Arabidopsis thaliana: one gene and its partner. The protein of the gene in region 1 interacts with the protein of each later gene in a pairwise test. Each region holds a gene or a part of one and is shown on either strand. Other genes may lie near its edges.

The links.
Region 2: the proteins of AT5G53360 (region 1) and WRKY20 interact in a two-hybrid assay, tested with the Arabidopsis thaliana proteins (one large-scale study listed by BioGRID).

The regions. Positions count from the first base shown.
Region 1 is NC_003076.8:21,646,050-21,650,327, forward strand, and holds AT5G53360 (TRAF-like superfamily protein), read left to right. Parts: upstream 1-1,773; 5' UTR 1,774-2,048; coding exon of another isoform or gene 2,049-2,225; intron 2,226-2,326; exon of another isoform or gene 2,327-2,428; 5' UTR 2,429-2,435; coding exon 2,436-2,771; intron 2,772-2,854; coding exon 2,855-3,220; 3' UTR 3,221-3,518; downstream 3,519-4,278. Other genes in the region: CLPX (CLP protease regulatory subunit X), read left to right, coding at 211-281, 382-481, 578-682, 773-835, 916-1,038, 1,132-1,293, 1,383-1,454; PMEPCRF (pectin methylesterase PCR fragment F), read right to left, coding at 3,634-4,278. UniProt on the Arabidopsis thaliana protein: E3 ubiquitin-protein ligase that mediates ubiquitination and subsequent proteasomal degradation of target proteins.
Region 2 is NC_003075.7:13,436,301-13,442,898, reverse strand, and holds WRKY20 (WRKY family transcription factor family protein), read left to right. Parts: upstream 1-1,902; 5' UTR 1,903-2,205; coding exon 2,206-2,433; exon of another isoform or gene 2,434-3,124; coding exon of another isoform or gene 3,125-3,136; exon of another isoform or gene 3,137-3,425; coding exon 3,426-3,581; exon of another isoform or gene 3,582-3,873; coding exon 3,874-4,378; intron 4,379-4,468; coding exon 4,469-4,625; intron 4,626-4,709; coding exon 4,710-4,865; intron 4,866-5,129; coding exon 5,130-5,601; 3' UTR 5,602-5,894; downstream 5,895-6,598. UniProt on the Arabidopsis thaliana protein: Transcription factor. Interacts specifically with the W box (5'-(T)TGAC[CT]-3'), a frequently occurring elicitor-responsive cis-acting element.

The DNA of each region.
Region 1 (4,278 bases):
GTGAAATGTCAATATTTTTATCATACTCTAATATTATTGATTATGTAGACAAAAGAGATTTCCAATTTAATGTTCTTTGCATGGTGATTGGAGTGTTAGGGTTTAAAATTTGTAATCGACATGGTTTCTTGTTTTCTTGTTTAAGTTTGATTAGTAGTCTCCCCTGTAAATCATCTGTTTTTTACATGCGGTCTTGTTGACTATCTACAGATAGACACAAAGGACATACTCTTCATATGTGGTGGTGCTTTTGTAGACATTGAAAAGACTATCTCAGAGAGGTCTGACTGATGAACATATTTCAAATTCCTCCGTTTTTTGTTTCTATCCTCTAAACTGAATTGCGTTATAAGCATATGAGTGTGTTTTTTTTGGTTCCAGGCGCCATGATTCTTCAATAGGGTTTGGTGCTCCTGTACGTGCCAACATGAGGGCTGGTGGTGTTACAAACGCCGCTGTTGCATCAAACCTAATGGAAACTGTAGGTCTTTTCATCTCTTCACTCACCAAATGTTGGGTGTTCTTCTACTTGTTTTGGTTTGTATCGAAGTTTGAAATGAGATGTTTGCTGTTGCAGGTGGAAAGCAGTGACCTGATTGCTTATGGTTTGATTCCTGAATTTGTTGGACGATTTCCAGTTCTCGTCAGTTTGTCTGCTTTGACTGAGAACCAGCTTATGCAGGTACTAGGAATGACATAAATATGTGACATTGTGATTTTTGCATTACTAGACCATGTTCATAGAATATGCAGTAATATCATTGGATTGCAGGTGTTGACAGAACCCAAGAACGCTCTTGGAAAGCAATACAAAAAGATGTACCAGATGAATAGTGTAACTACTAATCTCTCTATCTCTATCTCTCTCCTTCTGCTCCAAAGCTTGAGACAAGTCTCCATCTTCTCTTTCTTCAGGTAAAGCTGCATTTCACAGAAAGCGCACTGCGGCTTATAGCTAGAAAAGCAATAACGAAAAACACGGGTGCTCGTGGCTTAAGAGCTCTTCTAGAAAGCATCCTCATGGACTCTATGTACGAGGTAAATACACCTCTTATTACTTTCAAATCCGTTTTGCTAAAAATCCGTATTCAAACTCTTTTCACATTTCTGCAAAACATTTGTTTTTCTCAGATTCCGGACGAGGGTACAGGCAGCGATATGATAGAAGCGGTTGTGGTGGATGAAGAAGCAGTTGAAGGAGAAGGGCGTCGAGGCTCTGGAGCTAAGATTCTCCGTGGTAAAGGAGCATTGGCTCGGTATCTCTCTGAAACCAATTCCAAAGATTCCCCACAGGTAAAAACCGAGCTTTTACTTAACCGATAACAACTGTCTGGTTTGTTTGATAACCTCATTATCTGAATTGCTTGGCTTAATTGTTGCAGACGACAAAGGAGGGATCGGATGGAGAAACTGAAGTGGAGGCAGAGATTCCATCTGTTGTAGCAAGTATGTAATGATCACCACCATCATCATCATCATCATCAGAAAATGTGGTGAATGTATCTTTGTATGCGTAATATTTACCGTTCTTTGTACATAAATGAAGGAAAGAAAAACAAAGTTGGATAAGAAAACACAAGGATGCACAACTTGCACATTGATAAATGATGATGTAACAAACTTTTTATCGTATGCAATGTCCATCTTTTCATTGATGTATCTTATAATTCAAAGTATTCAACAAGAAAACGCTCTTGTAACAAATAATCTTATTAGGAAAATTCAAACACCCATGTGTCAGATTCTAATAACCGTCGGATTAAAATCCAACCAAAAAGCTTTAAATCTGGACGGGTATAATTAATTCCTCAAACTTCTTCTCTGGAAGAACAAAAAAAGATGAAACAAAGCCAACGAAGAAAAGCACAATTTTGGCGAAACCCAGTGAGAGAGAGACAGAGAGAAAGGAGGGAAATTCCAGCTTCCCTTTTCTCTCTCGTTCTTGCTCTTTTGATCTGCGTGAAAAGAAAGAATTTTTATTTTCCCGACAGAGAAAAGTCCCAATTTTTAAAATTAGGACTTTTTGATTTTCGAAAATTTTGGTGTTAATGGAAACAGATAGTATCGATTCCGTGATCGATGACGATGAGATCCATCAAAAACACCAATTCTCATCAACCAAGTCTCAGGGAGGAGCCACCGTGGTAATCTCTCCGGCTACAAGCGTTTACGAGCTCCTTGAATGCCCTGTCTGCACCAATTCAATGTACCCACCAATCCATCAGGTTCGTATCTCATCATCTCCTAACATTGGAGGGTTGAGAAAGATCTTATTGCTTCTTACGAATATAAAGTTCCAATTTTTATGATCGTTATCTTCAAATGATCTGATTTGTTTATCATTGCTATGGTATGTTACTATTGAGTTTCTTGAGGGTTTATGGATGTTTTGATATATGTATGAGTGAAAAAGTTTCTTCTTTTGTAGTGTCATAATGGACATACTTTATGTTCAACCTGTAAATCAAGAGTGCATAATCGCTCTTGAGAAAGTAGCTGAGTCGCTTGAGTTACCGTGCAAGTATTACAATCTTGGATGCCTTGGGATTTTCCCTTATTACAGTAAACTAAAGCATGAGTCTCAATGTAACTTTAGACCTTATAGTTGTCCATATGCTGGCTCGGAGTGTGCTGCTGTAGGTGACATTACTTTCCTTGTTGCTCATTTAAGAGATGATCATAAAGTCGATATGCATACTGGATGTACGTTTAATCATCGTTATGTTAAATCTAATCCACGCGAAGTAGAGAACGCTACTTGGATGCTAACGGTTAGCATTGTTCTTGTTTATGATTTACGAGTTCTTCAGTTGTCTGAGATTCTGAGGGGGTTCTTTGTTATATTGTTTTGTAGGTGTTTCAATGTTTTGGTCAATACTTTTGTCTTCATTTTGAAGCGTTTCAGCTCGGTATGGCTCCAGTTTACATGGCGTTTCTGAGATTCATGGGCGATGAAGATGACGCACGAAACTATACATACAGTTTAGAAGTTGGAGGCAGTGGGAGAAAACAGACATGGGAAGGGACACCAAGAAGTGTCAGAGATAGTCACAGGAAAGTCAGAGACAGTCATGACGGTCTTATAATCCAAAGAAACATGGCACTCTTCTTTTCCGGTGGAGACAAGAAAGAACTGAAACTTAGAGTCACTGGAAGAATCTGGAAAGAGCAACAGAATCCAGATTCTGGTGTTTGCATAACCTCTATGTGTAGTAGCTGAATCAAAATCAGCCAACCCTTCAAACCTATCTTAAGGTGTTCGTTCGATTTCTTCAATTCGATTTTGTTTCGGGTTTGTGTGTTGTTTTGGTCCAGAATCCAGATAGCTTCTTTACATTCAAAAGTGTATTTAGAGAAGTAAAAAGAGTTGTTCCATTTGCCAGAAATGTGCAGAAGGTCACAAAAGTTGCAATAACTTCCAAAGATTGAATATTTCCATAAATGTATATATTCACATGGTAAGATCTGAGCAAAGATCTAATACAGTAACATATTCAAATCATATCTTTATTTCATTCAAGAAGATGTCCTGTCATATAATAAGTACACTTAAAATGGCTTATGGACTATATTACAGATCTTGAGTTTGTACATAAAATCATTCGTATACGTAACATACAAGGCTGAGACAATCTATTGTGACAACCCGGAGAAGAAGGACACACCGGTGGATGGCAACCACGAAGAACCAGAAATGAACTGAGCCACCGTAAACTTACTAGCCTCTACCGTTGAGGTAATAACATGATAACCAGGCCATTTGACTCGTTGACCAATTCCTGAACCCAACCCTTTGTTCATATACTCACCATAGTACAACGAGTCCAATGCAAACGGACCATTCCACTCCAACCATCCTCGCGGGTCAATATGGTCACCCATATCCGACATCATGTACACAACTCTAGAATACAACTTCCACGGACGGCCGAGATACGTCGGATAACTACCCTTAGAGGCTTCAAGATCCGGTGTTGCTAGTAGCTTACAAGCATGAATCGAAATCCCCGTATTCTGATTCGGATCTTTTCGGTTCTGAGCCGTAATAGTAATCTTCTGCTGAGCCATTGGTTTACGCGCATAAATGTTACAACTCTGTAAGATCACAGCCGCATTCCCGAATATAAAATCGACCGTTCCATAAATTTCGCATTCGCGGAAAAACTGTCGGTTAGAATGTACGTAAAGCGCGTCTTGGTAACCGATAATGTTGCAACGGTAAACCACCGCGTGGTCTCCACCAACACGGAGTGCCACGGCCTGATGCTTAGCCGGTCC
Region 2 (6,598 bases), on another chromosome or scaffold:
TTTGAAATCTTCAACGTGATCAAATAGAAAATTGCAAATTGAAGAGAATTTCACTCCTAAAAATTAAAGGTCTCCTCCAGCACTTGAGTACAAGATCACCATTCTTCGAGGTATATGCCAATATATCGTGAACTTTAAATAATTCAAAATCTTAAGTACACCAAACTAAAATAGTGAAACCACCCCTTTTTCTTGGTCAAATGTTTGATCAAAATTATGATGATGGTGTGGTTATGTGAAGGGGACAACACCTTTTTGAACTTTGGAAATTTTCATGCAAACTTTTCCGTTTCTAGATTTTCTTAGAGTTTTTTAATTACCAAAAAAAAACAGTTATCGAGTTTTTCCTTATTTCTTCTGTTAATCTAGACATTAAATTTAATATGTAAAAATGACAAGACTATGTATATGATATGAGTGTTGCACCAAGAAAAAATTACTATCTAAAATCTTCACTAGTCACATATTTTTGAATAGTTATGATATATTTTCTGTTGCTTTATCATTTTACCGAGTTACCCACTTTCGAATTATCAGTTTTTATCAAAACATGGATTGATAATTATTTAAAATACAAGTAAAACAATTGTTGGTTTAGAAAAGAATTACATAGTTTTATTCTGAAACGGCATTGAACAGTATTGAGAGATATATACACATATTCTTCTTATCTTTTACACATTTTGGAAGTTTTACAACCAAAGAAACATGTTTTTTTTTTTTTTTGAAAAATTCTCTAACAAGATTTGAGGTGGACCAACTTGGATCCAGAATGTCACCACTCACCATTATATATCCTAACTGTTATCCACGCAAATAGAACACAACCGCTACCCCACAAGATAAACCAATAGCTTAAATTTTTAACAAAAAAAATTCGATTCAACTCCCACATAATTTGGTAGGTAATTTGACTCAAGGGCCTAGGCCCATTTAAACCAATGAAAGAAACTGAGAACGGCCCAAAGATATCTCACACATATCCTCTCTATATAATACATAATCATAGCATATCAATTTCATTATCACCGATCAAATTAGGGTTTCTCTTTCGATTACAGAGTTTCACTTGTTTGGAGCCAACAATCATACTCTGCAACCAAAATCCAAAACAAGAAAAAAATGGCCTGTCTCAACGATGATAAGAAGAAGAAGTTTCACCTAGTCCTTGACTTGGACCACACGCTTGTCCACTCGGTACTTGTTTCGGACCTTTCCGAAGAGCAGAAGTATCTAATCGAAGGAGCTGATTCAAGGTCAGATCTGTGGAGAATCAACAGAGATCCACTCCCAGCGAATATATGATAAAGCTACGACCTTTTCTTCATGAATTTCTATTAGAAGCCAACAAGCGTTTCATCATGCACGTATACACAATGGGTGATTCTAGTTACGCTCAGACCGTGTTGAAGTGGATTGATCCGGAAAAAAATATACTTTGGAGATCGAGTCCTAGCCAGAGAACAAAGTCCTTATGAGAAGACACTCGATCTTCTTGCTGTTGATGAGCGTAGAGTGGTAATTGTCGATGATGCGATTGATATTTGGCCTCATCACAATAGAAACTTGTTACAAATCAGCAAATACATTTATTTCAGCGTCGGTATTGAACTATTGATAAACATCGCAGAAGATAAGATAGACGAGAGTCGAAGCAACGGATCATTGGCGCACAAAAGATTCAAAAAGGTAAGTTTTAAAAGACCTGAGACTGTTGATACCTGATCCTTAATTATCATCAACAATACTGCTTCTGACTGTGTCAATCTACCAATGCTACAACACTCTTACTTTGAGATTTAGGATGTTTCTGGTTCCAACAACTCTTTAAACAAGCAATTTTGATTACACTAACTTTTTTATCTTTTACATTTTGACAAATGTACATGAGAAAAAAAAAGAGGATTGTTTACATCTTCTAATTGTTTTTGTCAACTTTAACGTTTGTTGTTGTTGCTTTAGAAATTGATAAAGCTAAATAAAGGAGAAAAAGAAGAAGAAGAAAATAAATTATTAAAAAAATGAAAAGGAAAAACAAAGAATTAAGAGAGGTGTGAAGTCAATATCGTTCTTTCATCTTTCACTACAATCTTCACTAACGCAGAGACCAAAATCTCTCTCATTTCGCCATAGCTGAGAGCTTCTTCTACTTTCCCTTAGCTTCTTTTTTCCTTCATTTTTGTTCTACCCTTGCGAATCTCTGAAATGAACCCTCAAGCTAATGACCGGAAGGAGTTTCAGGGAGATTGTTCGGCGACGGGAGATCTCACGGCAAAGCACGATTCAGCTGGAGGAAACGGAGGTGGAGGTGCTAGGTATAAGCTGATGTCACCGGCCAAGCTTCCGATCTCGAGGTCGACTGATATCACGATTCCTCCTGGGTTGAGTCCGACTTCGTTTTTGGAATCTCCTGTTTTCATCTCCAACATCAAGGTTTAAGCAGCTACTTTACTATCTCTTTCTTCTTCTTCTTCTTCGATTTTGGTAAATGCAATCACAGTTTCACCTCATTTTTGTTGTCGATTTGAGAAATTAGGTTTTCTGATTTCATATTTTTAAGACCTAAAGGATTTTTCATGAAATTGGATTGTGCCATTTTGAAACTGAGTTTGGAATTGGAATTGATTCATAACATTGACATTTTGTCCCACTTGTTCGGTTTCTCGTTGCTTCAATTTCGATTTGGATCACTGTTCATGTTAGTGGGGAATTTCTGGTAATTTGGTGGAGATGCTCTCTGCTTGCTCACTAGGAAAAACATTGGACTTGGGTTTCCATTTTTGTTTCTTAGTCCATTACAAGTGATTAAAAAACTATGATTTGTTTGCTTACGTTAGGGACTTTGGCCAAGATTCTGATTCTTTGTGCTACTATACTCTGCATTGGTTTGCATTTGTGTCCGTTCAGATTGTTCTTTCGAATAAACCTTTTTTTTTTATCATGTTCTATTGGTGCTGGATACTTTATTTATATCCTCTTGCTCTTTGTCGTTTCTTCTTCATACTGTCTAGTGTCTATCTTCCATGTGTTTGGTGCTTCTCTTTTCTTTTTCCATTCTTTGTACATTTAGGTTTCGGTTAGCTGCGTCTGTGTGGGGATTCCTTTTACTTATATGAGCTATTGAATGATTCTGTTGGTGAGAAAATGTACTTTACTCGCATGTTCACCATTTAGATCTATAGAGTATTCGTTTTGTTCAATTAAGTTATGAATAATAGGTTATATGCTATGTGCTCAATTTTATTTTGCATCTCTTAGTTATATCTTCTTATCCCTTGATTGAACAAGATATTGTTTTTGTTTTTAGAAGACTGTTTTTTTTAAAACATCATGTTTATTGATAGATCAGGTTCATGTTTTACAAAATCTGATATGTATTGTTTTATTCATGCCATTAATAATATGCCACTTTCTTTAACTTTCAGCCAGAACCTTCCCCTACTACTGGTTCTTTGTTCAAGCCTCGACCAGTGCACATTTCTGCTAGCTCAAGTTCTTATACAGGCAGGGGGTTCCATCAGAACACCTTTACTGAGCAGAAGTCCAGTGAATTTGAGTTCAGACCTCCTGCATCAAATATGGTATTGTCCAAAACAATGCTGTTTGTTATGCTTTGCATGTAATGTACTGTTCAGATAGTCGACGACATATGAACCCCGAACAGTGGCTGACCTAATTTTTCTGCACGAAGTCTATTTATTCAGCGCTTGGATTGCTTGTAAATCTCAAAATCTTTCGCCTTTGCATACATATAATACCATGCCAGCCTTAAATTGTTTCATAAGGAGCCTTGTATCCAAAAGCTCACAGTTTATAAGTTACTTGTATATTGTTGGGGGATGACTTTGTCTAAACATCTTTATTGATTTCAAGGTATATGCAGAGCTTGGCAAGATTAGAAGTGAGCCACCAGTACATTTTCAAGGCCAGGGCCATGGATCCTCACACTCACCTTCTTCGATCAGTGATGCTGCAGGTTCCTCAAGTGAGCTAAGCCGGCCAACTCCTCCTTGTCAGATGACACCAACGAGCTCAGATATTCCGGCTGGATCTGATCAAGAGGAATCAATCCAGACTTCCCAAAATGACTCCAGAGGAAGCACTCCATCCATCTTGGCTGATGATGGTTATAACTGGAGAAAATATGGTCAAAAGCATGTCAAAGGGAGTGAATTTCCCCGGAGCTATTATAAATGTACACATCCTAATTGTGAAGTGAAAAAGTTATTTGAAAGATCTCATGATGGGCAGATCACCGATATTATATACAAGGGTACACATGACCATCCTAAACCTCAACCTGGTCGCCGAAACTCTGGTGGTATGGCTGCACAAGAAGAAAGGCTAGACAAGTATCCTTCTTCAACTGGCCGAGATGGTAATCATAACTAAAACTTGAGACAAATATGCACTTACTCCCTTGGCAATATCTATAACTTTTTCCTTCTACTCTTATGTCTGCATACAGAGAAGGGATCTGGCGTCTACAACTTGTCTAACCCCAATGAACAAACTGGTAACCCTGAAGTACCTCCTATCTCAGCATCTGACGATGGTGGAGAAGCGGCAGCGTCAAATAGGAATAAAGATGAGCCGGACGATGATGATCCATTCTCAAAACGGAGGTATTAGAGTTTAACAAAGGATTCAGGTGCTTGATTTGAATCTGTGATTTGACATGATTAAAACTTTATTTTAACTTTATGTAGGAGGATGGAGGGTGCGATGGAAATAACTCCACTAGTGAAACCCATCCGGGAGCCTCGGGTTGTTGTTCAAACTCTGAGTGAGGTTGACATTCTGGATGATGGTTATAGATGGCGCAAATATGGGCAGAAAGTCGTAAGGGGGAACCCAAATCCCAGGTTTGTACAGCATTAAAGCTTTTAACACCCCAAAAAATTCCTTGCTTTTTTCTCGAATGAACATACATAAACATAACTTGCGAGTTCAAAATGGTAGCTAGAACAGTTTAGTCCTTGTCTTCAGGACCTAGTTATTTGACATGTGCATAAAGTGTTGCTTCTTTTAGGAATTTGGTTTGGAATATGGAAGATAGTGATCTTAACAGACTCAACATGTGCGCAATGGAGATATTATGTTTCATGATGTTCCTCGGCCTTTTGTAGGAGCTACTACAAATGCACAGCTCATGGATGCCCAGTGAGAAAACACGTGGAGAGAGCATCACATGATCCAAAAGCTGTAATAACAACATACGAAGGCAAACACGATCATGATGTTCCCACTTCAAAGTCTAGCAGCAATCACGAAATCCAGCCTCGGTTCAGACCAGATGAAACAGACACCATCAGCCTCAATCTTGGTGTTGGAATCTCATCTGATGGACCTAACCACGCTTCCAACGAACATCAGCACCAGAATCAACAACTTGTCAACCAAACTCACCCAAATGGAGTCAATTTCAGGTTTGTTCATGCTAGTCCCATGTCATCCTACTATGCTAGCTTAAATAGCGGTATGAATCAGTACGGCCAGAGAGAAACAAAGAACGAGACTCAAAATGGTGACATCTCGTCCTTGAACAATTCATCTTACCCATATCCGCCCAACATGGGGAGAGTACAATCGGGTCCGTAAAACAAAAAGTAAGCAACATTATGTACGGGATCTTCTTAGGTTAGGAATGGGACGAGGCCTTGTTCTATATAATTCCTATTTCTTCACAGAGAGCTGATCTTGATTCAAACTATCTCCACCATATATATTTGTTTGTGTCACCTGTATTGAGTTCCAAAAATGTTATGTAAAAATACACAACAAGATGTTAATGCTTTTATTTAAACAAGAAACAGCAATATTACTACAAACTATTTCTTCTTCACCGTAATTAGATATGCTCCATGAAAGAAACACCACGACGGTACTTAAGCTACGTGGTCCTTAAGCAGACAATTACAACTGTTGCCCGTTTTTCAATAATAGTTTCTCAACTTTTAGTTCTAGACTTCTAGATTTGTCAAAAACTCATAATAATGAGATATAAATACTTCGACTAGGTGATTTACCATGGGACAATATTAAACTTTGTTCAATTATTTGGAAGGTTATACTATACAGTCTCTATACAAAATTAAGAGATTTGTGCAAGAAGTAGATTGGCAATTAAAACAGTAACCTTATTCTCTCTTACATGTATCTAGATTATTTGGTGGAAGTTACAATCTCTAATTTCATATTTAGAACTTTTTTTTTTCCGAAGCATTTACTGTTGTTAAAGACAAACATATTAGATTCTTTTAGATCATAGTACCCGTTAAGCAAATAAAAATTTTGTCGCTATCAAACTAATGACATTATAAGTCATTTATAATCATCGTCGTCAAAATAGTCTTGTTTTTTTCACCGGACCAGTGAATCATTTTCATCTTTTGCGGAAAGGTAAAAATCGGATTATCATGTTAATTTTTTTGCAAAAATTGACAACGCTATTTATGGTAGCGGATCGAATCCATCATAAAAAATATTTAAATATAAAATAACAAAATTTGTTAAAGTCACTTATACAATTCTATTCAATTAGATCATTTTACCTAATATAGCGTTGTTTAAATCAATTATAATTGAACATTCAACG